Mus musculus: one gene and its partners. The protein of the gene in region 3 interacts with the protein of the main gene of each other region in a pairwise test. Links are inferred from orthologs where the notes say so. Each region holds a gene or a part of one and is shown on either strand. Other genes may lie near its edges. The genes, in order: Prkaa1, Ccnc, Pnma5, Zmynd19, 1110051M20Rik, Vim and Wdyhv1.

What was found.
Region 1: the proteins of Pnma5 (region 3) and Prkaa1 interact in binary tests that used the Homo sapiens proteins (3 or more experiments, as listed by UniProt). The two-hybrid records come from large-scale screens. The link is inferred for Mus musculus from reciprocal best matches to the Homo sapiens genes PNMA5 and PRKAA1.
Region 2: the proteins of Pnma5 (region 3) and Ccnc interact in binary tests that used the Homo sapiens proteins (3 or more experiments, as listed by UniProt). The two-hybrid records come from large-scale screens. The link is inferred for Mus musculus from reciprocal best matches to the Homo sapiens genes PNMA5 and CCNC.
Region 4: the proteins of Pnma5 (region 3) and Zmynd19 interact in binary tests that used the Homo sapiens proteins (3 or more experiments, as listed by UniProt). The two-hybrid records come from large-scale screens. The link is inferred for Mus musculus from reciprocal best matches to the Homo sapiens genes PNMA5 and ZMYND19.
Region 5: the proteins of Pnma5 (region 3) and 1110051M20Rik interact in binary tests that used the Homo sapiens proteins (3 or more experiments, as listed by UniProt). The two-hybrid records come from large-scale screens. The link is inferred for Mus musculus from reciprocal best matches to the Homo sapiens genes PNMA5 and CSTPP1.
Region 6: the proteins of Pnma5 (region 3) and Vim interact in binary tests that used the Homo sapiens proteins (3 or more experiments, as listed by UniProt). The link is inferred for Mus musculus from reciprocal best matches to the Homo sapiens genes PNMA5 and VIM.
Region 7: the proteins of Pnma5 (region 3) and Wdyhv1 interact in binary tests that used the Homo sapiens proteins (3 or more experiments, as listed by UniProt). The two-hybrid records come from large-scale screens. The link is inferred for Mus musculus from reciprocal best matches to the Homo sapiens genes PNMA5 and NTAQ1.

What each region holds. Positions count from the first base shown.
Region 1 is NC_000081.6:5,171,258-5,175,162, forward strand, and holds part of Prkaa1 (5'-AMP-activated protein kinase catalytic subunit alpha-1), read left to right. Parts: intron 1-2,950; coding exon 2,951-3,175; intron 3,176-3,905. UniProt on the Homo sapiens protein: Catalytic subunit of AMP-activated protein kinase (AMPK), an energy sensor protein kinase that plays a key role in regulating cellular energy metabolism.
Region 2 is NC_000070.6:21,741,063-21,744,967, forward strand, and holds part of Ccnc (cyclin-C), read left to right. Parts: intron 1-892; coding exon 893-928; intron 929-1,550; coding exon 1,551-1,642; intron 1,643-2,184; coding exon 2,185-2,252; intron 2,253-3,905. UniProt on the Homo sapiens protein: Component of the Mediator complex, a coactivator involved in regulated gene transcription of nearly all RNA polymerase II-dependent genes.
Region 3 is NC_000086.7:73,034,233-73,038,739, forward strand, and holds the start of Pnma5 (paraneoplastic antigen-like protein 5), read right to left. Parts: upstream 2,872-4,507; 5' UTR 2,843-2,871; coding exon 986-2,842; 3' UTR 932-985; exon of another isoform or gene 727-931; intron 96-726; 3' UTR 1-95.
Region 4 is NC_000068.7:24,952,777-24,956,276, forward strand, and holds part of Zmynd19 (zinc finger MYND domain-containing protein 19), read left to right. Parts: intron 1-459; coding exon 460-600; intron 601-3,500. UniProt on the Homo sapiens protein: May be involved as a regulatory molecule in GPR24/MCH-R1 signaling.
Region 5 is NC_000068.7:91,441,746-91,446,397, forward strand, and holds the start of 1110051M20Rik (UPF0705 protein C11orf49 homolog), read right to left. Parts: upstream 2,970-4,652; 5' UTR 2,870-2,969; coding exon 2,824-2,869; intron 1-2,823. UniProt on the Homo sapiens protein: Regulator of the tubulin polyglutamylase complex (TPGC) that controls cytoskeletal organization, nuclear shape, and cilium disassembly by balancing microtubule and actin assembly.
Region 6 is NC_000068.7:13,572,903-13,577,402, reverse strand, and holds the start of Vim (vimentin), read right to left. Parts: upstream 3,093-4,500; 5' UTR 2,972-3,092; coding exon 2,409-2,971; intron 1,863-2,408; coding exon 1,802-1,862; intron 1-1,801. UniProt on the Homo sapiens protein: Vimentins are class-III intermediate filaments found in various non-epithelial cells, especially mesenchymal cells. Vimentin is attached to the nucleus, endoplasmic reticulum, and mitochondria, either laterally or terminally.
Region 7 is NC_000081.6:58,147,652-58,151,556, reverse strand, and holds part of Wdyhv1 (protein N-terminal glutamine amidohydrolase), read right to left. Parts: intron 3,224-3,905; coding exon 3,124-3,223; coding exon of another isoform or gene 3,116-3,123; intron 952-3,115; coding exon 901-951; intron 576-900; exon of another isoform or gene 1-575. UniProt on the Homo sapiens protein: Mediates the side-chain deamidation of N-terminal glutamine residues to glutamate, an important step in N-end rule pathway of protein degradation.

The DNA of each region.
Region 1 (3,905 bases), on a different chromosome or scaffold from region 3:
CTGAGAACCTGCCTACTGCAGTACTCACTCCCGAGGAATGCTTTACTTAGGCGAACATTAAAAAATGTAACATGATGGGCAATCCTTGCTGGTAATTCTACACCTTCTCATGACACCATCTCAAGAAAACCAAACCAAACTAGACCGCACAGAGAGCAGAACAGAGTTACAAGTGTAACGTCACGTGTAGTTGTATAAGTATTCAAATAGCTGGCATTCATGTAGTAGCTTCATGTTTTATGAGGAAGGAAACTAAAGAAGTGGTCCTTTAAAAAAACAGACCAGCTGAATGTATTGCATGCCTATAGCCTGAGTATCGCACATGGATGCCAAGACAGGGCTATATAGGCCTGGTATCAAGGAAAATCGAGGTGAGGTGAGGGGCAAGAGGGTTATAAAAAGGGAGAAGGAAGGAGAGAGACTCATTTATGTTCAGTCTTGATCTAGATCTGCTAGAGATTGAAGTGTAAGACTGCTGAACTCTGAACTACTATCTAGCACTAAAGGACGGATGTATTTTCATTAGTTACTTTTTAAATAGCGTGAAAACAAAATTTAATTTGTGTTTTATTTCCTTGTTTTGTTCAAGGTTCAAGTTCCTCCTCCTCCTCCTCTCCTTCCTCTCCCTCCTCCTCTCCTTCCTCTCCCTCCTCCTCTCCTTCCTCTCCCTCCTCCTCCTCTTCCTCCTCTGTGATAGAGACAGTTCATTAACAAAGAGAAGGCACGCCTAAATTTGGAAGTGGGGTAGTGGTCTGGGAAAAGATATTTGCTTAAAGTTGTAAAATTTAATTTAAAAGACAGACTTTATTTTAAACCATATATGTATGTGTGTTTGTGTGAGGGTATGTGTACATTAGTGTAGGTGCTGACAGAGGTCAGAGCCCCCCAACCCCACCCCCCCAATCCTCACCCTTCAGCTATTGCTACGGGCAGTTGTAAGCTGCCTTGTGTGTGTGTGTGTGTGGGGGGGGTGAGAACTAAACCAGGGACCTCTATAAAAACAGCGCAGGTTCTCAATGGCTGAGACATCCCTCCAGCTCAGAGAATTTATTATTTTTTTCCATTTTTTAAAATTAGGTATTTACTTCATTTACATTTCAAATGATATCCCGAAAGTCTCCAATACCCTCCCCCAACCTGCTCCCCTACCCACCCACTCCCCCTTTTTGGCCCTGGTGTTCCCCTGTACTGGGGCATATAAAGTTTGCAAGACCAATGGGCCTCTCTTCCCAATGATGGCCGACTAGGCCATCTTCTGATACATATGCAGCTAGAAACACGAGCTCCGGGGTACTGGTTAGTTCATAATGTTGTTCCACCTATAGGGTTGCACACCCCTTCAGCTCCTTGGGTACTTTCACTGGCTCCTCTATTGGGGGCCCTGTGATCCATCCCATAGCTGACTGTGAGCATCCACTTCTGTGTTTGCTAGGCACCCGCATAGCCTCACAAGAGACAGCTATATCAGGGTCCTTTCAGCAAAATCTTGCTGGCGTAGAGAATTTATTTTTAAGATCAACGCTTTGGCTAGGCTTGGTGGTGCACCTTACCCAGGAGGTTAGACAGCAGTTTGTCTCCAGCTCAGGCTCCTTAGTGAGACAGGGCCAGCTTGGGAATAAATAAAATGCTCTTGCAAAAACAAGCAAGCAAAGAAAGAAATAAAAAACAAGTAAAAGTCAAAGCAAACAAAAACACATTGCTTCCTCATTGCTGCTGAAACACTAATGAGGTAGGGGAGGCCTGTTGCTCGCCAGTGCCCACAATCCCGTCCACCTCAACCATTTCCTTGTTTAAATGCTTCAAATGGTGATGGACCTAATTTAAAAAAAAATCCCTGTGCTTTCTATGTTCATGTGCTTATTTTTTTTTGACTGCTCAAAGAAAAGGTAATGAAGTGAATTAAAAAGATTCATTTGTGTTTTCTATCTTAATTCCTTTGATTTGAGAAAAATTCAAAATCTAGATGCTACAGGGAATATAACTAAAGAAAAAAGGCATGCGTCATGTTCAAGCATGCATAAAATGGGCTCTTGGGGAAATGTACAGTTTGGATGTCTTTCCTTGAGGTCTGTGTGAATAGGAGCACTCATTTTGAGAACAGTGTTTACTGCTGTCTATAGGAAGGAAGCACTCTCGTCACTCTGAGGGTTCGTTTTCCCCCTGAAGGCAGCCTCGGATGATTCAGCTGGTTTGCAGCTAGTTAGAATCCGTGTCTCCAGTGCTTCCTTCACGTAGACGCACTCACGCACGAAGAGGGCGAGTGTTCTGTGAGCTCCACTGCCCTTGGCTTGCTTCTGCAGCTCCAGCTTCCTGAACTGTGATGTGAGGGTTTTAGGAGAAATGGGTTCAGAGTCTGTCACTACAGACTTGAATCATGGGCCCAGCGAGTTGGCTCAGCTGGTAAAACATTTGCTGCCAAGTGCCTAGAGTCTGACCCCTGAATCCTGGGTAAAGGTAGGAGAGAACTGATTCCACAGAGCTGTCATCTCAGCTCCACACCCACTGTGGCATGTGCACACCATACACACGCACATGCATGTGCACACACACACACACACACACACACACACACACACTAAAAGTTACTTAAAGGTGAGGGTGGGGGAACAAAAAAGGTACTTAAAAAAAACTATCCCTGTGGCTCAAATCAACATTGATCATGATGGCTCAAGGGTTGACCTTATTGGTAGGAAGTTTGAGGGTCATAGTAAGGTAGTACAATTTGACCCATGGATCACAAGTTACAAAATAGCTTATTTTTAAACAGGTAATACTGATAAGACTAGTATCTTTATGTGTGATGTGCAACAACCACTATAGATACCATATTCTGACCACTGATTTCTTTAAAAATTATTTTCTTATATTTTTCATAAAGTATTTGTATTTGAAGAGTGTTGACCGATGCTTTTTGATATTGTGATTAATACAGTTAGCATTCTCTATGCAGATTGTACGCAGGCCCCGAGGTGGACATCTGGAGCAGCGGGGTCATTCTCTATGCTTTGCTGTGTGGAACCCTCCCTTTTGATGATGACCATGTGCCAACTCTTTTTAAGAAGATATGTGATGGGATCTTTTATACCCCTCAGTACTTAAACCCTTCAGTAATCAGCCTTTTGAAACATATGCTGCAGGTGGATCCCATGAAGAGGGCCGCAATAAAAGATATCAGGTAACTCACTTTATCTGCCTACTTGACCAACCAGCCAACAAACCATCTGTCTGTCTGTCTGTCTGTCTGTCTGGACTGTGTAGTCTTGGCTATCCTGGAACTCACTCTAAAGACAAGGCTGGCCCTGCCTCCCTCTGCCACCCGAGTGCAGTGCTAGGATTAAAGGCGCGTGGTATTACCATTGCACAGCAATATTAGGTGATTTTTAAACCAATGTATTTTTCTACCTTTTCGAGTCTCTAGATACCAGAGAAATTTCATTTTATTTTTTATTTTTATTTTTATTTTTTTTTTTTGGTTTTTTCGAGACAGGGTTTCTCTATATAGCCCTGGCTGTCCTGGAGCTCACTTTGTAGACCAGGCTGGCCTCGAACTCAGAAACCCGCCTGCCTCTGCCTCCCGAGTGCTGGGATTAAAGGCATGCACCACCACGCCCAGCTGAAATTTCATTTTATTAATGACACACTTTTCTTGTGGCAATATACTTTGAGTCATAGGAAATTGATTATTGTGCTCAATTGAGTATTGAGAAATGGCTGCATTGTGTATCATGGTTTAACCTGATAGTTTAAATAAGGCATGACTGATAGTGGCAGCTGTGCTTCCCGGGTTGCGGTAAGTCACGTCTCATGAACACTCAGTACTCCCTGGCCACCGTACTCTGTCATCAGTGTTTCTTTATTTTTGTTTTCCTTAGTTCTTTGATCTTCTGATGTCTAGAGTACACGTT
Region 2 (3,905 bases), on a different chromosome or scaffold from region 3:
TATCGATAGTTGAAGCCGGGCATGGTGGCGCACGCCTTTAATCCCAGCACTCGGGAGGCAGAGGCAGGCGAACTTCTGAGTTTGAGGCCAGCCTGGTCTACAGAGTGAGTTCCAGGACAGCCAGGGCTACACAGAGAAATCCTGTCTCGAAAAACCAAAAAAAAAAAAAAAAAAAAAAAAAAAAAGTATAGTGATAGTTGCACTGTGCATTTGTCAAATAGAAAGTATACAGAAATTTTTGAAGTTTTTTGTTTTGTTTTTTCAAGACAGGAGTCCTCTGTTTAGCTCTGGTTGTCATGGAACTCTCAAACTTGCTATGTAGACCAGGCTGACCTTAAACTCAGAAATTTAAAGGCATGTACCACTATGCTGGCTTAAATTTGAAGTTTCTAACATTTATAACTTTTTAATTTATTTATTTATTTCTTTATTTTTATAAGAATTCTCGTTGTGGCTTAGTAGCAAAATAAGTGTTTACAATATTAGAGACTTTGGGTTCAATTCCAAGACCCCCCCCCCCCAAAAAATATAATATACTGTCTTTTCCTCATAAGAATTTAAAATGTATTATATAACAGTAAAAAGCAATTTTTGCCAGGCATAATGGCACAAGCCTTTACTCCCATCCCTTGGGAGGCAGAGGTGGATGGAGCTCTGTGACTCTGAGGGAAGCCTGGTCTACATCATCAGACCCTGTCTCAAAAAACAAACAAAATTAGTAATTTTTTATTGTAAATGTTAATGCTAACATAAGCTACTGTGTTTATTTTTTGATTTAGAAATTTTATATAATATTGATGAATTATTTAATTTATCTGTATCTGTAACTTATTTTTTAAAAAGTAGTTATGTAATTATGCTTATTTTCACTGGTTTTTTTCTTTTTAAACAGATACTAGAATGTGAATTTTACCTCTTAGAATTAATGGTATGTATATTTTTCCATAACACAGCAAAAACTTGATGGGTTGTATTGAAAGGAGGTTAAAATTTAATATATCCAAATGATATATTATGGCAAAGTCATAGAAACATAAGAGTAACATCCCCTATTTCCTTTCTGAAGGCTGTAAAATAATTTATCTTACTTGGGCTGCAAAAAAATTATTTTTTAGTTTTCTTGTAACTTTAATAAGGGTTACAAGCAAGTAATCCAGGACCATTGTAAATTCTGTGTACAATTTATGCGTGTATGTAGAGTTAAAGATGGGTTAGGCTTTGTCAGCATCATGCCCCTGCAGTTGAGAAGTATGGATGTATAGCCTAGTAATAGGCTACAGTGTGTTGCAAATGTGGCCCTCTGAATCTCTAGGGAAAGAGTGGATGCTGACTGGGTACCATGTGATGTACCAAGGTGTATTCCAGAGGGAGCACTGCCTTCACTGTTACAGTAGCATACGGTCATATCTGAGTGAGAGTATAAAGAAAAAGAAAGCAAGTATGAGAAAAAGAAATTCATTTCAAACACAAAACAAGTTGTTGGAAAATGATACCATTTTATGTTGTAATACATCTGTTTTTATACGTACATATTTTTAAACTGTTTCTAGGACTGTTGCTTGATAGTGTATCATCCTTATAGACCTTTGCTCCAGTATGTGCAGGACATGGGCCAGGAAGACGTGCTGCTTCCCCTTGCATGGTAACTAGACCAGAAGTTACTCATAGGCTACTAGACAAGGGGGCTGACAACGAAATACATGGCTTAATATACTAAAATGTCCCAAGTCATTTTATATTTAGGAAGATATCTGCTTGTTAAATTTGAAATACTGTAGTAGTATAAGTTATAAAGTCATATATATATTGAATTACCTATTTGATAAGGATATCTGTCAATGTTTTGTATGAAAAACAGACTTTACATGAACATTAAAAATGAATTTACTTTTAAAATAATACATTTTGTTTACTTTTGACTTTTTAGAATGTGAACAACTATTTTACATTATCTGTTGTGGGGTCTCAAAGTGGAAACTATACTGCTACATGAGTTTTATATCCAGTAATGCCTGTCCCCTTGTTGTCACACTCATGCATTCCATTGCTTAGTCTCTGTGTGTCGTTAATCAAACAGGGATGTAAGTGTACAAAGATGGGAGGGAAATCTGGTTCTCTGGGGAAGAAGTTACAGTCGATGAAGCAGCTCTGCGTTTAGTAACGATAGAGTTTACGTTTCTACAGGAGGATAGTGAATGATACCTACAGGACGGATCTCTGTCTGCTGTACCCTCCGTTCATGATCGCTTTAGGTATGAAAATTTGCTGTGCCTTTATTGGATAACTATTTGTGCCTATTTAGGTCATCCTAGAATACATTTCAACTGATTTTTATGGGTTTTTGTAGGAGTAGACTAATCTTGAATGTGAGTTCTCAATGATATACACTACAACCATCCCAGATTAGCATTATTTTCCCCCTTCTGCTTTTTGGTAAGGCTTCTTCCCCCTTAATTCATTTAAAATAATTTTAACTAGTATCTAAGCAAAGTTTTTATTTGTTTAGGGAGGAAATTCAGAACTAAGTCTCCTGATACTATTTGTCTTATAAATAACTGGTTCTGTTTTCTATTTCTGGATCCAGTTAAATACTCAAGAACTTAAGGAAAAAAGCATTATGCTTCTGTTACTAGGAGAGCTTAGCTGGCGTTCTATGGTGTGTAGGAAGCATACAGTGATGGGCTCAAATTGTCTTGGGAGTTAAGTAGACCAGATTTAAACATTCCTTACTTTACAGTTGTAAAAACAATTTTTTTGAGTTTGTAAAAATTGTGGGAGGGATAATAACTTTATAAACAGTTAAATGATATATCCTGTAGAGCACCGGCTATCTATCTATTTGTACAAAGACTTAATATATTCTGCTCCCTTTTTTTCTCCTTCTCCTGTTGATTTTCATGACTCCTAAAAACCCTTCTCCTTTTTCTTCGTTTTCATTCTCCTCTTCCTTTTCTTCATCTTCTTCCTCCTCCATTCTCTCTTTTTTTTCCATTTATGTCTTTTTAATTTTTCTTTTACATTTTTTGGGGAGGGTTGTTTGTTTGTTTGTTTGTTTGTTTGTTTGTTTGTTTTGAGACAGAGTTTCTCTGTGTAGCCCTGGCTGTCCTGGAACTCACTTTGTAGCCCAGGCTAGCCTCGAACTCAGAAATCCGCCTGCCTCTGCCTCCGAAGTGCTGGGATTACAGGCGTGCGCCACCACCTAGATTTTGTTTTATATGTATGAATATTTGTACCCACATGTATGTATATGTAACACACACAAGCCTGAAGCCCATGAAGGCCAGAAGAGGGCACTAGACCCCCTGGAATTAGAGATAGTTGTAAGTCATCATGTGGGTGCTAGAAATTGAACCCAGCCGGGCGTAGTGGCACACTCCTTTAATCCCAGCACTAGGGAGGCAGAAGCAGGCGGATTTCTGAGTTTGAGGCCAGCCTGGGCTACAAAGTGAGTTCCAGGACAGCCAGGGCTATACAGAGAAACCCTGTCTCGAAAAACCAAAAAAAAAGAAAAAGAAAAAGAAATTGAACCCAGGTCTTCTGCAAGAGCAATAAGCACTCTAAACAGCTAAGCCGTCTCTCTCCAGTACCCCTTTTCAGTTATGTCATAAACATTGCTGGTTTTCAACCTTATACTAGAGGTTGATATAAATTAAACTTAACACTTCTGTGGCATTAGTGCCTTTTTTTAATGTTTTGTTTCTTTTTATTCATATGCATTGTTGTTTTGCCTGCCTGCATGTATGTATGAATGAGGGCATTGGATCCCCTGCAACTGGAATTACAGATAGTTGTGATCCACCATGTGGGTGCTGGGAATTGAATCCAGGTCCTCTGGAAGAGCAGCCAGTGGTGCTCTTAACCTCTGAGCCATCTTTCTAGCCCCTCATTGGTGACTCTTGTAAATT
Region 3 (4,507 bases):
AGGAATATCACACATAGTCCCAAGTTGAAGTCATCAGCCTTGTCAACATCCATGGTTCCAGAACCAGGCTCAGGAACTCAGGTTAGCACACACATCTGCAAGAGAACAAGCAGCAGGCAGCTGGCCTAGATGTACACTAGGAAAGCTGACAAGGAGTTCACAACACCAGGTGGGTAAGAGAGCAGCTAGCGTAGCCTAGGCTGGCACAGAAGCTCACAACACGTGCCAGGGTGTAGAAGTGGCTGACCAGGTAGGTAGTCAGGGCCTCCAGTTGCCCTCACTCACAGCTTTATACAGGAGCAGCTGATGGTGGGTAAGCACGTGATAGGGGAAGGGACTCACTGGACAGCTGGGTCACTATGAGGTTAACAGATAAGGGGGCGGGGTTCCAGAGCAGGGGGCAGCCTGCCTCTGGACAGCAGTGGCAGGGGAAGGGGGAGAGGGGAAAGGGAAGAGGAAGGGGCATTTGTGTTGGGAGAGCCAGGCAGTTGGCAGAACCCTTGAGATGGCCTTTTCTGTGATGTCCACCTGTTTGGTTATGGGTGGCAGATGGAGGATGGCACCTCGGCAAAGCTGCCAGGCCACCCTCCAGGTCGGCAGGGTTTGGGGCCAGCCTTGGCAGCTGCCTGGCAGAGTTGTATTCACCTGCCTGTCCCTGCTTGCTCTCTGGAATTCTCCAGCAGCCCTGGACAAAAGAGAGCAGAACAAACTCTCCCCCCCCCCGCCCCCTGCCTGCCCCCGCCCCACACACAGAGTCCTCTTTCTGCTGCTCCTGTTTGCTCACACAAAACCTGTCCTGCACACTCCCAGGCTCTCAGGCCAGCTGAGGGCATTAACCCTGTGGTGCCATGTGCCCCAGCCTGGGGCTTTTCTCAGGCACTAGTGTCCTGTCAGGGTGTCAAGAAGGAAACTGCCTTGTGTTGGCACTTGCCTCCCGGGTCCTTTGGGTCCTGAGGCTTGCAGGTTTCACAGGAGCGGGGGGAGTTCACTCACGAAAGGACTCAAGGGTGCTGCCCTCATGGGGCTCCCCTAGAGCTGTGTAGATGATCCTGAAGACAGGCTGGATCCTGCGGCCTCCTCTCCTGGGTACTGTCTCCCTGCCTAGCCGTGCTTGTTCCCAGGCACTGGTGTCCTCTGCCCAAGACAACCCTGTGGCAGGCTCCTCCACACCCTGTGCTGCTTCAGTGCCAGTGGGCATTCTTAGCTCAGAACACCCATCCTCACCATCTTGTGACCCACTAGTATCCCAACTGCGGTCTGGATTACCCTGTGGTCTAGTTATCATACTAGCTCCCCATTTCAGTCTCTGACACTCCCCACGGTCCTGCCATTTGGTAGTCACTGAGCTGTGTGGAATTTGTTCTTGCTTGTTGGGATCATTTCTAGCTAGTAAGAAGTTGGGTGCCTTACCCTGGCCCTGTTGCCCTTCTGCAACACTCATGTCCCCTGTTCCTTTGTCTGGGCTGCCCCATGATTTTGTCAAAGTATCTCTGTTGCCTGCCACAGGAAGGAATTCCTGGCTGTCCTGAGCCTCTATTTCCTTGGGGTTAGGGTGGCTCACTGCCCAAGCCCCTCTCTCGTTCCCCGACTCCTGTGCTCTAACATAAGGTTTCTGCTCATCGGGTTCACTTTCAGCCCAGAAACCTGATTCCTTCCTCTGTCCCTCTTCCCCAGCACTGTGTCTCCAGAGCAGTCGCCTCCGTTTCACTGATGTCATCTCCTCTCCTGTGGTCTGGGTGCTGACCTCCCTAGAATCCTCTGCCTGGGTGACAACTTCATTTGCCGCCTCACATGCGCTGCTGTCCCTTCGTACCTGCTCCTGCTCCTCCACTACCACAGTGCTTTCCCACTCTTCCTCGTCTCGAGTAAGTTTCATTAATTCCAGAAAAGTAGGTGGGCACCCTTGCTGATCTAAGAGGGAGAGCTTTCCCCGAAGGCCAGTGGTCATGGAGACCTGAGATAAGACGTGCTTGAGACGAATTGAATCTGCACTGTGTGCTGACAGTGGGCTCTGCTGCACTGCTTTTTGCAGCAGGGGCTCTAAACGTAGCAAGTAGTCAGATACCTTCTCTGCAGGTTTCTGAGAAGACTGAAGGAACCTGAACTGTAAGACCTTAGAGTCCTCTTTATTTCCAAAGATGTGCTTTAGGGCTTTCAAGCACTGCTCCACGGTTAGGGAGTCATTGCTAGTCCACAGTGCCTGCATGATTGACAGGGCAGAGCCACGCAAGCTCTCTAGAAGGCACTGCTTCTTTTCCCTCTCGGACACCTGCCATAACTGCATCAGCTCAGTGACCTCCTCTAACCAGGTTTCAAAGCTTTCTTCTCCTGGGCCTGGAAAGGGACTGCCAGAAAATACTTTCAGTTTTTTGTAACATGTGCTATTATTACACAGAGACTTCAAGCCTTTTGGTTTGTCTTGGTCTAAATTCTTTAACTCTATTTTCCCTGTAGGAACAGTGCTAAACCCCAGGGCTTTGGCCACATCTACTATTCTCCGTCCTTCATCTCTTAGAAAGTAGATCAACTTATTCATAAACTCATCATCTGGGCTACGGGGTTTGACAACCACTTCCCAGGCCCCACCCTCTGCTGGTATATGAGTAGGCATCATAGTATAATCAACAACTTCAGGCAGTTCAATTAAGACTGCCTTAGCTTCATCTTCCCTCCTGAACATCCTGCCTATCACCTTGTATGCACACAAGGGAGGTAAGCCTTCTTTCAGAGCATCATTTATCGCAGCCTCAGTGTACTGCACGGGGATGCCCACAATGAGCACAGCCTTCTTGGGATCCAGATCCATCCCCTTACACCAGTCATCTAATAGAGCCACGGCCATTGTTCCCTCCCTCTATCAGCAGACCTAACACTAGGACTCAAAGATTCTAAACCAATGCCATATAGAAAGGCAGTGATGTCCTGGTTTCCACAACCTGAAATGCAAATGAAGTTAAGATGTTACTTAATGATTCCCATCACCTTTCCTTTTCCCAGACATTCAGTCTTGTTCAATCACAGAAAGCTCCCCAAACCTCACTGAACCCTGCTGACCTTTGGTTGCAGCAACCTCCTTGCAAGTCCAGGGACACTACTGTGCATTCTGCAAGTACCTGTGGGGAAAATGCCAATGTCAGGAGGCAAAGACCAATGCCAGTGGAGGAAAGAACAGGAGAGCACTCTGCCACCCACTCAGTGCTATATTGGATTTAACCCATTCCTTGTTAGGTTCAAGATTGGCAACACATAAACTCTCCTCCACCTGAAGAAATGCTCAACAGATAAGAAAGATGACTAGAACTCAGCAGATGTGATCACAGTGCTGAGTGCAAAGAACGTACGACAAGCTAAAGTATTGACATGGACACAAGAACAGTGTGAATCTAGATTTCTACCATAAGTTACCACATAGGTTAAGGCCTTTTATGGACAACAGGTGATGCCATGGTTCTCCAACTAATGAAGCATCTTAGCAACAGGTGTGGAGAGTAGGATAGGGCAGAGACTGAGGAGCGAGTGCTGATAAATTAAGCATATGGGTTTACAATAGTATGGAATCTGGAATCAGAGGCAAAAAAAAAAAAAAGACCCCAGAAAGTAAAAGACAACTCTCAGGTATGGCCCTACCCTGCAGTCTGTGAATCTTGGCAAGAAACCCCTTCACCAGTCTTCTGCTACAGTTAGAGGCTATTCCCAAAATAGATGCTCACCCTGCTGTCTTCTGTAGAGTGCCCCACTGAAGTGTGGCTATGGTGACTTTCCTGTGCTGGTGCTTGATCCTGGCAGTCTTCTGGCTCTATCCAGACAAGCAGTGCTGGTTCCTGCCCACTGATCTGTTCAAGGCAAGGCAAAGGAATATTTAACATGGTCTATCCTGAATGTCCCTGCCCACGCAGGCTGTGCTAATTCTGAGTCTGCTCAAGAATCTAAAGACAGCCCCTTGCTGGGTATGGCTGAGCACATCTTTAATCCCTGCACTTGAAGTAGGCTGGGGCTGATCTGTCAGTTTTGAAACCTAAGCGGGCAGTAGCTACTTTTTTTTTAATTAGATATTTTCTTCATTTACATTTCAAATGCTATTCTGAAAGTTCCCGAATATGTGGTCTTGCAAACTTTATATGCCTCAGTACGGAGGAATGCCAGGGCCAAGAAGTGGGAGTGTGTGTGTGTGGGGGGGTATGGGGGACTTTTGGAATAGCATTTGAAATGTAAATGAAGAAAATACCTAAGAAAGAAAGAGAGAGAGAGAGAGAGAGAGAGAGAGAGAGAGAGAGAAAGAGAAAGAAAGAGAAAGAAAGAAAGAAGGAAGGAAGGAAGGAAGGAAGGAAGGAAGAAAGAAAGAAAGAAAGAAAGAAAGAAAGAAAGAAAGAAAGAAAGAAAGAAAGAAAGAAAGAAAGAAAGAAAGAAAGAAAAAAAAGAAAAAAGTTCTTGCAGCCGGACGTGGTGGCGCACGGTGGCGCACGCCTTTAATCCCAGCACTCGGGAGGCAGAGGCAGGCAGATTTCTA
Region 4 (3,500 bases), on a different chromosome or scaffold from region 3:
TTCTACCCAAAGTAGTCAGACTAACGTTATCTTCTTTAAGTCTGGGAGTTTGTGAGCTTTGCCACTAACCCAAAGGAGTGACTAATGTACATATCACTTTAAACAACTAGTGGGATTTTGATGAGATGAGACCCATGGATCCTTCTGGTGAGTCATAGGTTACATCCTTAGAAACGGGGTCATTGATCATAGATGGGTAAGGTGGTTTGAAATGTTGGTATCCAAATGGGAAACTTAACTCTAGATAATTTTGTTGGTTTGAGGGTTCTCTCTATTGTCCTCTGAGGCAAGTTCCCTGTCTGTGTGGGCCATGATGATGTGCTTGGCTTCCTCCTGGTATGCCACTTCAGAATATGGGCCCAGTTCTGACCAGATAACTGGTATTCCTGTGTGGCTGGGTATTGATGCTTGAATAGAGGTGCTTGAGGCCTCACCCTCAAGAAAAATGTCTTTCCCTAGGGAACGACACAGGGGAGGTGTGGCTCCCGGGTTTCAGGTGGTACATCTCAATGCTGTGACTGTGGACAATCGCCTGGACAACCTGCAGCTGGTACCATGGGGCTGGCGACCCAAAGCTGAAGAGACCTCCAGCAAACAAAGGTGGGTCTTCTCTGGTCAGCACCTGATACTTGAAGGGCTGTCCCATGTTTCTGTGTTCCTGTTTTGTGCTTTTACTATGAGTGCTTCGGTACCTTGATACCCAACCCACCACTGGCCATGTGTGAGAATTCTTCTTCATGGGAAAGGGAAGAATCTTTCATTTATGTAGGTAGCCCTTGCTGTTTAGGACTTGCTATGAATACCAGACTTTGAAATCAGCAGTCCTCCTCCTGCCTCCCCTGTGCTAGGATTAAAGATGCATATATACCTCCATGCTTAGCCAGAAGGATTTTTATGATTAATTTTTGGGATTGACCTTGTAGTAATTGACTCTAAGAATATTTTAGCTGATGTGATGGAATGAGACCATGCCCCAGGACCACACTGAGACAGGGTGGGTCTCCTTTGGTGAATAGCTTTCCCTGAGCAGAGGAAGTAGTAGGACAGTGTAGTTTAGGGATGTGACCTCTTGGCTTCTCAGTTCCCTGTGGTCCTGAAAACAGCATTGTACAAGCTTTTCTATCCTGGAGGCCATGTTCCTACTAACCCTCAAACTCACCACAGTGAATTTCAGGAAGCCCTGGAGAGGTGCTGGAGGGACCAGCAGGAAATGATTAGGGAAATTTGACCTCATAGTCCCAAGCCACACAGGTATCATTGTTCTGCTCATAGGCGTCCCCTGAGGGCGCCTGGAAGTATCTGTACAAATAGCTTTTTTTTTTTTTTTTTTTTTTTTTTATTTTGGTTTTTCGAGACAGGGTTTCTCTGTGTAGCCTTGGCTGTCCAGGAACTCACTCTGTAGACCACGCTGGCCTTGAACTCAGAAATCCACCTGCCTCTGCCTCCCAAGTGCTAGGATTAACAGCATGCACCACCACTGCCTGGCTATATACAAGTTCTTTGTTTGCTTGTTTGGTTTTTTTGAGACAGGGTTTTTCTGTATAGCCCTGGCTGTCCTGGAACTCACTCTGTAGACTACGCTGGCCTCGAACTCAGAAATCCACCTGCCTCTGCCTCCCGAGTGCTGGGATTAAAGGCGTGCGCCACCACGCCCAGCTCAGTCGGTGCTCTTAACCACTGAGCCATCTCGCCAGCCCTGTATACAAGTTCTTAAGTCTTTTTTTTTTTTTTTCCTGAGACAGGGTTTTTCTGTATAGCCCTGGCTGTACTCACTTTGTAGACCAGGCTGGCCTCAAACTCAGAAATCCGTCTGCCTCTGCCTTTCGAGCGCTGGGATTAAAGGTGTGCGCCACCACGCCCGTCTAGTTCTTAAGTCTTTAAGCAACCTTCTTTGGCATTTACCACCTCAACGGATACTAATAGTATTGACAAGGTTGTCATTACAGACAGTGGGTAGATGTTTGTAGTGAATGTCTTCAGGTGATGCTAGTGCCCCATGTACTGTAGGGAGGAGATGTGCGAGTATGTGTCTGTACTTGATAGTGCTGGTCTCCAGGTCTTTAGAAGACAGGTGCCAAGCTGCTTTACTCTGGCAGAATGTGAAGGCAGCCCTAGGAGGGTCTCAGACCTCTCATCTCCTTCCTTTGTTGTCTACCTGATGTCAGAGGTTTTGAGTCTTCAGTTCTGTTTTCACCACTCCTGTCTGTCCATCCTTTCTTCCATCTTTCTTTTGAGATTTGTATATCTTGGGCTGACCTCAACTTGCTGTGTAGCTGAGAAACTGAGACTGATGTTGCCCTTCCTCCTGTGAGGCAGACATCCTATTCAGTAGGGTCCTGTGCTGAATGCTCTATTTAGTCTCCTGAACACACCTTATGATCATGATAGGACCACAGTTAAAGCCTATTCAGAAAGGGGCAGTTACAGTTCTAGGGGTAGAGGGCTGAGGTGTTTGGTCAGGTGGCCTGTTGGACCTTTTCTCAGCCAGTTTTCAGAGATAAGTTTGGTGGAGGCTGTGCCCTTCAGGTAGGTAGTAGTACATACCTTTTACTAGCAGAGGCAGGACCAGATTGGACCAGGATCCATGAGCATGTCTGGTATGCCAATGTAAGGGGAAGTAGAAGATGGGGATAATGAATGTGTGTGTTGGGAGGGAAGTGCTTGGTACTGTGGGCATTTGTGTCAGAGGAGGATGGCCAGTACTTGTGAGGGAGAGTGCGTTATTCATAAGGCTCAATTAAGCAGCTCCTGTGGAGAAATCAGCTATGCCTCTCCAAAGTCCCACACAGTCTGCTGCGCTCACCTGTGAGCAACCAGCAGTCAGTTTAGGGCTGTCCTAGTTAGGTTTCTGTTAGTATGATAAAATACCATGACCAAAAGCAATGTCACAATCTATTGTTGAGAGAATTAAGAGCAGAAATTCAAGCAGGAGTCTGGAAGCAGGAACTAAACCAGAGACCACTTGGGAGCACTGTTTATTGGTGTTCTCTCCATTGCTTGCTCAGTTTGCTTTCTTACACAATCCAGACCAACTTGTCTTAAGAGTGGTACTGCCCACAATGATTTGGTCCCTCCTATATTAATCCAGAAAATGCTCCACAGACATACACACAAGCCAGTCCGATGGGGTTAATTTCTCAGTTGATTTTTTTTTTTTTTTTTGTATTGTTTTGTTTTGTTTTTTTTCGAGACAGAGTTTCTCTGTGTAGCCCTGGCTGTCCTGGAACTCACTTTGTAGACCAGGCTGGCCTTGAACTCAGAAGTCCACCTGCTTCTGCCTCCCAAGTGCTGGGAGGAAAGGTGTGTGCCACCACCACCTGGCTTCTTTCAACATTTTGTTTTTAAGAATTTATTTATGAGCCAGGCATGGAGAGATGGCTCAGTGGTTAAGAGCACTGACTGCTCATCTTAAAAAAAAAAAAGGTTTTATTTATTTATATTATATATATATATGTGTGTGTGTGTGTCAGTACACTGTTGCTGTCTTCAGACACACCAAA
Region 5 (4,652 bases), on a different chromosome or scaffold from region 3:
AATGCTTCAAAATAGCATGTCTCTATTAGAGACCAAGTTGTGATAGGCGGGGTTAGTTCTTAGGTATAAACAAATGTGTTTTAGCAGTTACACAATTTGCTGAACAATGAGGAAGTCTGTGAGCAGCTTGACTTTGCTTAGGACAGTGGAATGTGCAGACTAAGATTAAGACTGTTAACCACACACCAGAGCAGAAGGAACGTTTGTCCAGGGTTCAAGGACTAGTTGAATTCCAAGAACACTGAAACTTTTCAAGAGCCCTGAAACAATGAATCTACTCACAGACTGTCAACACTGCCCCTAAATTAGTCTTGCACTTATGCCTCTTAGAAAAAGACCAACTTCTTTGCCCCAAGTAGCAGTCTACCAATATACCACGCCTCTGAGATATGTACTTTAAATAGCAAAAATCCAAGGAACTGAACAAGGAATTAGGATGTTCAAATATTTTGCAAGCTCATGAGTAAGTGAAAAAAATACATAAAATCTTTAGCCAAAGTGTTTGTGTTGACATTGTTATGCATTAGATATAAAGTTATTTGTGCTATTACTCTGCTGAGTAGTTGTATGTCAACTTGACACCAGCTAAGGTCATCCTGACAGGAGGAACCTCATTTAAGAAAATGCTTCCATAGGAAGCAGCTACCACTGGGTACAAAAGCTGTGATCTCCTGGTCCCGACACACTTCCTGCTATAACTCAGTTCTTTGGCTTTAATCCCAGTTTCATCCAGCAGGATTCCTGCTGCAGTCACTTCTCACTATGTGCATCAGTTAATGTGAAGTTGTTTTATCACCTTTTTCTTTTGTATGAACACAACTTCAGGTATGAGAAAGATACTGTGAGTGTATGTATGTGTGACTGTGTGTGTGTGTAGTCCAGGTCAACCTTGGGTGCCATGCCTCAGGAGCCATCCATTTTGTTGTATTTAAAAATTATTTAATTATTCAATTAGGTCTCCCACACTCGCTCTGTCTCTCTCCACCTCCCTCCCTCCTCAGTGTGTGTGTGTGTGTGTGTGTGTGTGTGTGTGTGTACACACACACATGCAGAGGTTAGAAGAGGCCCTTGGGTCCTCTGAAGCTGGAGTCACAGGTAGGTAGGTAGGTGCTACAGCCCAAACTCAGTTCCTCTGGAAAAGTAGCAAGAGCTCTTAACTGCTAAGCTATCTCTCCATCCCCCAAGATAAATATCTTTTTATTTAAAAAACAATTTTGAATCAACTTTTCAAATGATCAAGAAATTTTAACCATCTGCCAGGTCTGGAAACTCACTCCTTTGAGTCCAACACTGGGTAGACAGAGGCAGGAGGATCTCTGTGAGTTCAAGGCCAACCAAGGCTACATAGTGAGATCAATTCTCAAAACATAAACAAAATATGTATACAGAGTTGTATTTTATTTTAAAATGTGTATGGTACATTCATATAATAAAATGTTATTCATCCATGTAAAGAAATGAGTATCAAGACACAAAACGACAAGGGGGAACCTAAACACCTACTGAAACACGAAAGAGGCCATCTGAAGAGCTTATACACTGAATGATTCCCATTATTCTCAAAGGGGCAAAACTTTAGAAGTCAATAAGATCAGTCATGGAAAGGAAAGGAGCAAGGAGAGGGGTGAATGAATGGGGGATGCACAGAGGAGTTTTAACCATGAAAAGATTGTTTTACATCTTAATGTGGATATATGAGAATATGAATTTGTCCAAGTCCAGAAAACTGTACAATACAAAGAGTGGACCCTAATATAAACTATAGGCTGTTGGTAATCACACTGAGCTAATATTCAGTTGCAAGAAATGTACCACACTAACACAAGAAATTAATAATAGAAGCTAAATAGAAGATACAGAGGGAAAAAACTCTACTATCAGCTCAGTCCTCTTTAAGTTTAAAACTACTCTAAATGTTTAAGCTATGAACTTTTAAATGTGTATGTGTGCATATAAGTGTATACACAAGGTCTGGAGAGATGGCTCAGCGGTTAAGAGCACTGACTGCTCTGCCACAGGTCCTGAGTTCAATTTCTAGCAACCACATGGTGGCTCACAACCAACTGTAATGGGATCCAATGCACTCTTCTAATGTGTGTCTGAAGACAGCTGCAGTGTACTTATATAAATAAAAAATAAATATCATAAAAAATGTTTTAAAAAAATAAGTGTATACACAAACGTATACAGTAAATGTGTTACACACTCACTGCAGGGTGCTTAGCAAAGTACAGTACTTAGTACCACACAGCCTTAGCTCAAGGGTAAGGTCAAGTTCTGCAAGGGGAAAATCTGATCCTAATACTAACTGTATGAGGTCTTATGCAATTGTCTCTTTAGCCTTAGTGTCTCCATCTGTAAAGTAGCAAACACAGCAATCCCTTCTATGATAATGCTGCATGCAAAATGCTTACCTCGTGCAGAATGCCTAATGAAAATGAAAAGCTCGAAATAACCGTGCACTATGAAGGCAAAATTATTATTTACAAAATGACTGAAGTCATTTCAGATGCCAAGTTTGCGTCAATACAAACCTATCAATAATAGCCTTGTTTGGGGCCTCAGATTCTTAATTGTGTTACTTAGAATGCAGTCCTCATTGCCTGAGAGCCAGTCCATATAATTCAGCCATTCTTTACTCCATAAATGTTATTTTTCATCCAGGTTTGGCCCTACATTCAGGCTCAGGCCCTAGAACCCCTTCTTTCTGTCCTCCCGTCCCATCCAGACCCGCTACCGTTCAGGCTCCGCCCCTGTCTCCTACCCACTCCTTCCCCTAACACATTACTCCTTTCTTTTCCCGACGCTGAAAAAAGCCCCTACCCAGATACTCGTAGTCCGGTAGAGCTAGGCGCTCGGGACTCAGCATCCTTTGACCGGGTAGTTTCCACGCTCCAGCTTTCTTCTTCCGGAACCCAGGTTACAGCCTGTCTCTGTTGCCATGGCACCCAGGCGGCCAGAGGAGAACTAGAAGGCTGAGAGGGTGTCACGTAAACAGTCTCCGACTGGCAACGTAGAGCCTATCACACAAGTTCCGGAAGCAGTCACTTAGAGTCTGATTTTCTTTAACTCCTATTTTTGGGATTTGGTTTTAGAATCTGTGAATTAAATTCTCTGAATGTGTCGTATTTTGTGATGCTGAAGAATTACTATCAGTGGCTCATATCTGCAATTTCTGGATTTCATAGTTTCTGTTTATTCTAACAATAATGATCATGTATGGCCTCGCCTAACACTGAGATCTCATTATCTATTATTAATCACTTTTAGGATTTACTCTTTCAAGTTGGTACAAAATGTTCTTTGTATCTTGGCAGCTTCTGGAGGTCGGGGATACGTCTTTAGCATAGAGATACTACTAAGGGCCACTGAGCAATCCAAGGGACCCCATGTGGTGAAAACAGCCTACCAACTCCTCCAAGTTGTCCTCTGACCTCCACAAATCCCCTGCCCCAAATATATATCTCGACAGGGTCTCACTGTATTGCCCAGTCGGGCTTAGAACTTGATGTGTAGACCAGGATAGCCTTGAATTTAAGAGATCTGCCTGAGCCTGCAGCTCTCAGAGGTTTTAATGTTTTAAAGGTGTGTGCCCCTACACCCGGTAAAATGCAATTTTTAAAACTACTCATCAAGTCCTCTGTAAGTTAATGACCATTCCTCTCAAATTCCCTTTAGCCGTTTGAGACTGCTTCTACTTCCTATTATTTGACATCTTGTCCAAGTGCCTTTCCTTTTTCCTACAAAGTCACTTCATTTCTCAAAGGAAATGGGTCAGAAACTAGAGCATTTATTACATATCCTCAGCTCTATCCTTTCTGAAGAAGAAAGACTATTCCTTTCTTTTCAAATAACCAGATTTTCTTATCTCCTCTCTCTGTGCAAGAACAGGAAAGAGATCTGTACAGTGTCACAGTCCAAACCTAGCAGAAAAAGCCACTCGATCCTCACTTTTGTTTTGTTTTGTTTTGTTTTGTTTTGTTTTGAAGTAAGTCCCTGCCCCTTCAACAAGGAGAAGTTTTCGAAAGAGGAGAGGTTTTGTGACAAAGAAAGAAAACGAAATTGATGTCATCAAAGGAGTGACTGGGAATCCCACAGACCACCTACACTGGAGTAAGTAAAGAGGAGGCTCTTCTCTTATGTTCTGAGGGGCCTATTCTTAGTCTCCCCAAAGGAGCTACTCAGACCTTGTAATTCTCCCTTTCCCTTAAATTTGTATATATGTCTCAATTCTAGGCTCCTGTGAGTCACTCTGAATTTGGATGTGGTAAGGAGAAAGGGACAGAGCCACACAAGGGACAGTGTTTGGTGTTCTGAGGTAATGAATTTTCCAGGTTGGTAGTTGTTGATATGAAGTCCTGCAAGTTTTGTTAAAAATAATTAACTTCTCCTTCCTCTACCCCTCCTCCATGCAGCTTGAGGGTATAGAAATTTAATGATTTTTCATATTGGGCTTATTATTATTGTAATGTAAATAGAGTAATAATAAAATTTTAAAAATTGAGATAGAGTCTTACATATCTCAGGCTGGCCTGAAACTCACTAGGTTGCCAAAGATGACCTTGAACTTCTGATCCCCCTGCCTCCATCTCTGGATTGCTGAGATTATAAGCATGGAACACCAAGTCTGTTTTATTTGAAGCTGGTATGGA
Region 6 (4,500 bases), on a different chromosome or scaffold from region 3:
TATCTGGCATCCAGGTTCCCAGGCTAGCCTCGTATCAAGTAGTAATTCATTGTTCAAAATCCAGGTCTTGCATTTGCAGAGATATGCTCCTCGGGCAAGAAGGAAAAGAAATATAATCCTGAACTATATTGTTTTGCCTTCTCTAATTTTTTTAATGTGTAAAACACCCTGGCTCAGCCTATAGGGTATTTCTGCCTGTCCCAGCTGTCACAGTGTTATTTCAATGACTTTGTCTGTTTTAGGATGACAGATCAAAACACTTACAATGAAACTATACTTAAACTTCTCTGCAGAGTTTTTATAAAGTGATCTATTTTAAGACAGACTGTTCAATCTTGCATGTGAAATGTTGTTTCCTTTCAAGGAAATGTTTGGAAACTTCCCTTGTAAGCAACTGTATTTGCAGTATAGTTTATAACTATAATGTTGAGTTACTCTATCAGTCCCAAAGAAAATACTAATTTAAAAAAGAATATAAGAACTTAAATAGTAGTATCATTCATTTCTGACTTCTGCTAAGCCATCAAAAAATATATAAATGATATTGGACTAACCTTCTCGAAAAAGTTCAGCTAAATGTGTCATTTCATTTAAATGAATGAATGAAACAATTTTTAGTCCACAAATAAGAGATGGTGTGTATTAACTCAGTGCTTTGTAGAAAACATTCCTTTGGTGATGACTGAAAATGCCCAGTGACTGAAAGGGGCTGCATATTCGTCTACTGCCATTAAGGATGCAAATGCCTTCAGAATGCTACCTTAGAACATTCATCTGGAGAGTTTGGCTGTTGATCCTAACAAGTGTTCCAAACAAGACTGAACTGGCCATCTGTCCACTTCGGGATGCTAAGGTAATGCCTAACCCTGGAACAAACACAAACAAACAAATCCTCCCTCCATAAAATACTCCATTCTTCAGTTTAGGGTTTAATTTTGTTTGTGGAGGGTGCTAATGAGTCTACAAACCCCCCTAAAAGGGGGCCTTTCCAAATGTGAGGGAGGACTTTAGCTTTAAGAACTTTGTACACGGCATACCTCACAAGCCTGGCCCAGACACAAGATAATGGATGTTAGCAAATACTTGTGTCCAATTGGAACTGTGGTTACATCATTACATATTCAATAAGAATGTAGCCTGTTGCAAAGCTGCTCTGGGAACACAAAGGCCCCTATTCTTTCTGTCCAGAGCCACCGCATTTGCCAGAACGTCCCTATCTACATTCCATAGTGAAGCCCATAGAAACCTTTAACACCCTTGAGCTACGGGAACAGATGGCTTCTTTTCACCCTTGTTAGATTTCAAAAATGGTTGTGCAATGACTCTTCTGCTAACTTTCACGCAGTGCCGAACTTCGAAGGAAGAAAGGGAACTTGGCTTAATTCCAGTTAAACTTTCTCATCCTCCAGAGTATTCTACATTTCCAACTGGAGGAAGCAACTGTGGTTTTTATGACCTTGTGAAAGTTAGCCAATTTCACCTTCACAATCCACAATGTAATCAAATTGTAACCATTCAATATCCGAATGTCGATATGTTTCAAAAAACGAAAGGAGAAATGTTTCGGGGGTGTGGGGGATCAGAAAAATCTGGAAACGAAGCAGAAAATAAAGCCTTCATGTTCCAAAGACTGCCCTAAATAGTGGAGTTTTTCAATCTGTGCGCTTTCCGCCGCCAGGGGGCTTTACAAGCAGACGTGAAGTTCTGCACCTTTTAAAACCTAAGGGAAGTAACTTTTAGAACCGCTCGCGGGTTGGCTCCATTGGGCTGCTGGCTGCATGTGAAAAAGAAGTCTACAAACCTGTCTGAATGACTGCAGGGTGCTTTCGGCTTCCTCTCTCTGGAGCATCTCCTCCTGCAATCTGAAGCAGCAGCACATTAATCAAAGGGGAACTGGAAAACCGCCAGGGGCGGGGCGGCCACACCCAACCACAAATGCCGCCAAGCCTTGAGTCCAGAGCTGCTGTGACACCTCCACCCACAGTAGTTACTGCAACTTGTCGAGGTGGCAGCTCTCTGCAGGTGTTAGCTGGAGTTGGGGCACACTGGAAAAGACAATCACTGCCCTTCCCTTACAATTACAGCCAATCCCCTGTCCCAATATCCCAGATGCCTTTGCCATCTCTTTGTCTGGAACCCTTCACACCCATTCTTTCCTCCTGTCTGGTAACTGTAAGCCCAGAAGAAGGACCTAAGAAACTTTCTAAAAAGTTCAATGGAAGTGCTTGAGTGAGGCGAAAAGAGAAATGTTCACTGCAAAGTTTAGGTTCAGGGTGGGGCCCGCTTCCTCTGCTATCCTCCAGACAACCGCCACCCCAGCCACATCCCCAAGGGCGTGGCAGCCCCAGTGCAAGGCCCAGGACTCCCCTCCCTCCCACACCCCACCACTCGCGTAGGTCAGGCCTTACTTCTCTCGCAGCCGCATGATGTCCTCGGCCAGGTTGTCCCGCTCCACCTCGACACGGGCCTTGTCGTTGGTGAGCTGATCCACCTGCCGGCGCAGCTCCCGCATCTCCTCCTCGTACAGGTCGCCCAGGCGCGACTTGCCCTGGCCCTTGAGCTGCTCGAGCTCAGCCAGCAGGATTTTGTTCTGCTGCTCGAGGAAGCGCACCTTGTCGATGTAGTTGGCAAAGCGGTCATTCAGCTCCTGCAGTTCTACCTTCTCGTTGGTGCGGGTGTTCTTGAACTCAGTGTTGATGGCGTCGGCCAGCGAGAAGTCCACCGAGTCTTGAAGCAGCCGCACGCCCGGCACGCTGCTCCGCAGGCGCACTGCCGAGGACCGGGTCACATAGGCGCCACCGGGGGATGAGGAATAGAGGCTGCGGCTAGTGCTGGGGCGCAGTGCGCTGCCCAGACTGTAGGTGCGTGTGGACGTGGTCACATAGCTCCGGTTGGAGCTGGGCCGGCTCGATGTGCCGGAGCCACCGAACATCCTGCGGTAGGAGGACGAGGACACAGACCTGGTAGACATGGCTTCGAAGGTGGGCTGGCTTGCTGCGGCTGGAAAAACTGCAACAAGGGAATGAGGGCGCGGTGGCTGTGAATCGTAGGAGCGCTGGGGTCTCTGGGGTCCCGGAGCAAGAGTGGCAGAGGACTGGACAACGCCAAGGGCGCTGCTTTTATAACACTGTTAGGAAAGAGGGTCCCCTCCCACTGCCATCCTAGCCGCCGAGCGAGCCAGCCAATGGGGACCCGGAAAGAAGTGAGGAAGGGGGGTGGGGGAGGGAGCTCCCCTCGAGCCTTCCTCCAGGGCTGTAGGGTATCAAGCACAGTCCTGTTACTAATTGGAAGTGCTAGGCCTTTCAGGGGCTTTCCTGGTGATCACCCGAACTCTCTACTCACCCTTGGGTGCTGAGAAAGAAGGGATCGCGGGAAGGATTCATGGGGGAAGGAAGGGGGGCTCTGGAAAGTTGAGTAAAGCGATCCCTGGCACTGGGCCAAAGGGGCGTGGGACTAGGCGCGCTGGTAGGAGGGGCGTGGTCGCAGTCGCAGATCTGCGGTCTTCTGGGACTGGGTGGGTGGGGAGATCCGAGAGCGGAGGAGCAGGAAGAGCCTGCAAAAGCAGTCCTGCAGATCGGAAGCCGGGGAGAGAGAAACAAAGAGGGCCCGAGATTGGGGGTGGAGAAGCACACAGCCCAAGATATCTGGCTCAAGACCTTTGCAGAGGGCTTGTTTGACGTGGTCATATCCCCTGATCTAACGGACTCAGTTCAACTAGAGAGGATTAGGAGCCACTGCCTCTGGAGTAAAGCCCAGGGGACGGGGTGGGGTCGCTGAGTCAGTGGATATGACTCATGGAGCCCTGAGGGTGAGATCGTCTAGCGGTTCAGGAAAACCGTTAGTTGAGATTGACTCCAGACTCCAAGAGCGCTAAGCTCATTCATTGTCCGAAGTTTTAAACCAACTTTGAGAATAACCGTTCTTGTGATTGTTGGGGAAGTGTGGAGAGTTCTCCTTAGAAAGAAACTCTTGCAGACCCGGGAGAGCCACAAAACACATCCACACACCCCTACCCCCATCCCCACCCCTGACGACAAAAGCTCCCTCCCTCCCTCCTTCCCTCCCTCCCCCTTTCTCTCTTTCTTTCTCTCTCTCTCTTTCCTGCATGAAACCACACCCTAAGTTCTGGGTGAAAGAGGAAACTACTTTGGTAATTTCAAAAGCAAGCCCAGTGATCTCGGCCTTTCTGAAAGTGGACTGCATTAGAAGATAAGCAAGTCGGACAAGAAACCATTGGGTTTTGCTAAAAAATCCAATTCGGTGAATGAGTTCGGAAGAAAGGCAGTTATGTAGCTCAAGTGATAAACTGAAGAAACAGATTTCTGTAGATTTTAGAGCAGCGATGCAGGGGAGAAGATTCTAGTGACTTGTCTGGGCAACGCCACAGATCCTATTTTCCACAAAGAAAAATCATGAAATCTAACTTGAAATGGCGACAACTGTCCACAAAACAAAAGGTTCAGAGTGTTGAGATGCAGCGACTGTCACCTTTTCAAAGGG
Region 7 (3,905 bases), on a different chromosome or scaffold from region 3:
GGACGCCACTACCTCTTACTCTCATTGTATGGCAGTGCATGGCAATGCCGGCACTCCGAGGTGGAAGGTGCTGACGGGTCTGTAAGCTCACAGGCTGGCGAGCCTAGAGTCCACAGTAGGGCAATAGAAACAAAAGAAACTCTGCCTCCACAAGGCAGGTGAGAAGCAACACTACAAGATTGTGTTTTCCCCTCTGTGTGCACCTGCTACTCAGGCACGCACACGCAGTAGACAAATCATAAAATAAATATTCAGAAAAAAATACTAAGCCTGGTGTGTGTGTGTGTGTGTGAGAGAGAGAGAGAGAACACGCAAGAACTCACACTAAATCTTGAAGCCTTCTCTAGATAAACTAACAAGGCAACTTATACTTTTAATCAGTCTCCAGATAAGTCAAAAAAGCAGCCAGGCTATTATGTAATACCTGACACAAACAACCTAAATGGGGAACTGTTTATTTTGGCTCATGGTTTCAGAGACTACAGCAAACCAACCCTATGGGAAAGGCATAATGCCGGGAGTGACTGTCCACAGCAACAAGAACAGGAGGCAACTGTCCCTCACATGACAACAGGCTAGGAGAAAGAGAAAAAGAGAACACCCGTCAAAACCACAGGTAGGTAGGTAGGTAGAACCTTCAGGGCCCAGTCCCAGTAACTCACTTCTGCTACCTAGACCTCAGGTCTCATGGGTTCCACAACCTCACAGAACAGCACCCCCAGCTAGGGGATGTCCATAGTGCTTCTACCCCAGGCATCCTTTCTCAGAAGATCCTTTTACTAACTATTGTCATAGCCTTTCTCTAGTGTCACTTCAATTCTGTAGTCTCCACTACAGCATACTGGTCACTCAGAGGCCACACAGAACAACGCATCAGAGATGCTCGGGTGGCCATCTTACCCAGATCACAGGTCCATTCTCAGGTCTTGCCTGCTGTTTCCAAATAGGTACCTACAAAATATAGGATATCCGTGAGTTTCACTCAAATCCTTGTAGATCCTCTAAAGCAGTACACTGATGAGCAATAAACTAATCCTCCGCTGGGTGAGCAATGTGGAGGACTTGCTGCTCTTGCAGAGGACCCAGGATTTGTTCCCAGCATCCACAGGGCAGTTTAGCAAATATCTGTAACTCCAGTTCCTACGGACTCCAACCTTCTCCTGGCTTCGGTAGGTACAGTGCACACAAGGTACACAGACATATATGTAGGCAAACACACATACATGTTACCCCCCCTCAAAAAAAAAAAAAAAAGACAATCAGTCAAGCATGCTCTCACATACCTTTAATCCCAATACTCAAAAGCAAAGGCAGGTGGTTCTCTGTGAATATGAAGCCTGGTCTACATAGTGAGTTCCAGGCCAGCCAAAGGTCCATAGTGAAACCTTATCTCAGAAAAAAATAATTAAACTAACTAAATTAAAATTTAAAATAAAAAATGTTGGGGCTGGGGGCCGGGGGCTGGAGGCTGGAGAGATGGCTGAGCAGTTAAGAGCACTGACTGCTCTTCCAAAGGTCCTGAAATCAAATCCCAGCAACCACATGGTGGCTCACAACCATCTGTAATGAGATCTGATGCCCTCTTCTGGTGTGTCTGAAGATAGCTACAGCATACTTAGATATAATAATAAATAAATCTTTAAAAAAAAAATGCTGGGGCTAGAGAGATGGCTCAGTGGTTAAGCTGTTCTTCCAGAGGACCCAGGTTCAAGTCCCAGGACCCACGTGGCGGCGCACAACTGTCTATAACTCCAGTTCCAGAGGAACTGACACTCTCACACAGACATACATGCAGTCAAAACACCAATGCACATGAAATAAAAGTAAATAAGTCTCTTTTTAAGAAATGAAAATGTTTATGTGTCCTCCAGAGAACAGAAAGGCTTGGATTAGCCAGGCAGTGGTGGCGCACACACCTTTAATCCCAGCACTTGGGAGGCAGAGGTAGGTAGATTTCTGAGTTCAAGACCAGCCTGGTCTACAGAGTGAGTTCCAGGACAGCCAAGGCTACACAGAGAAACCCTGTCTCCAAAAACCAAAAAAAAAAAAGGTTTGGATTGGGAGACACAAGGCCAGTCAAGTCATGCCTTCCCATTCAGTTAGTCATGAGACCTCTTTGCATCTTTCCTTCTTCATGTTTTTGGGTTGTTTTTCGAGACAGGAATTTTCTGTGTAGCCCAGGCTGTCCTAAAACTCACTCTGTAGATCAGACTAGCCTTGAACTCATAGAATCGCCTGCCTCTGCCTCCGCCTCCCAAATGCACCCACCACTGCCTACCTTCCTTCTTCACTTTTATGTGGAGAAAGTTAGCAGGCCACGGCATTACATGCCTGTAATCCCAGCCTTGTCTACAAAATGAATGTGCGGCTACAGTGCCTTAGGTAACATGAGCCCTGTCTCTAAAAACAGAAGTGAAGTCACTAAAATAAATCTTGCCTGTTTCATAGAACTATTAACCCCAAATGAGACAACACAATGGGTTACTTCTAATGAGTCACAAAAGTTTACTACAGCTCTACTTAAACTTCAGAGACAAACCTTTACTTCAAATCCGAGTTACATGACTCTAACAATACAATTTTTTTTTTTTTTTTTTTTTTTTTTTTTGGGTTTTTTGGTTTTTCGAGACAGGGTTTCTCTGTATAGCCCTGGCTGTCCTGGAGCTCACTTTGTAGACCAGGCTGGCCTCGAACTCAGAAATCCGCCTGCCTCTGCCTCCCGAGTGCTGGGATTAAAGGCGTGCGCCACCACGCCCGGCTTAACAATACAATTTTTAAAAAGCTCTAAGCCATACACAGAGCATACCTATAATCCCAGTACTCAGAAGGACACTAAGTTTGTGGCCAGTCTGGTCTACACAGTGAGTTTCAGGTCAGCCAAGGTCTACACTTTGACACACTGTCTCAAAAAGAAAGGAAGGGTACGCAATCTGCATAAATATACCATCACATAGTTCATCTCCTAGGAGTAAGGGAATGAATACTTCTAAATTGAATCTAAATGAAAATAATGTTTGAAAGCTTGCTGTTCCAAAGCATATAGACAGCACAGCGTCAATACTGCACTTGGCTTCTGAGGTCCCCCTGAACCTCATCTCCTTCTGCAATCACTTACCAACTTACCATCTTCTTCTCATTTGATATGAAGACTGCATAGCACTCCTCCAACAGATACTGGTTGTGTGTCTTGATGTACTCACAGAGCTTCCAAATGTTTTCCTCACTGAAATCAAACAATCGTTTAATCAATATAATTACAAGTGAACAGCTGTCTTTTGGATTTAAACAAAAAATTGATGAGGATATAACTAGAGAAGACCTTAACCACCTCCTCTGACAGAGGGCTAACAGGTGGCTTTAGTACAGTCAACAGCTGCTAGCCAACCTGTATGTGTGCACATGTCCAGAGGGCCCTTACCTACCACAGAAGGCTGACTGTGGCCAGTAACACACTACCTCAGGACTCCAGAAGCTGAGATAAACAACTTTGCATGTTCTGGCTTCTCTAAGCACCTACTTTTCTCCTCTGTAAAACTCACATTCTTACACCACGCTATAACCCTTTACAAATCCCAGTACTGGAGAGGCATATCTCTTCGAATTCAAAGCCAGACTGGGCCAAATAGTAAGGACCTGTTTCAAAAATAAATAGGGCTGGAGAGTTGGCTCGGTGATTAAGAGTGCCTACTGCTCTTCTAGAGGGTCCTCGTCTGATTCTTAGCACCACATTTCAGCTCACAACTGCCTGTAACTCCAGCTCCAGGGAAATCTGACACACAAACACAAACTCATATACACACTCACATACATATATAAATTAAAATAAACCAAAAACATTTCAATTTAAAGACGAAAGAAAATAAAATAAAGAAAAAGAAATCATTTTTAAAGTCTTTTTAGAAGCT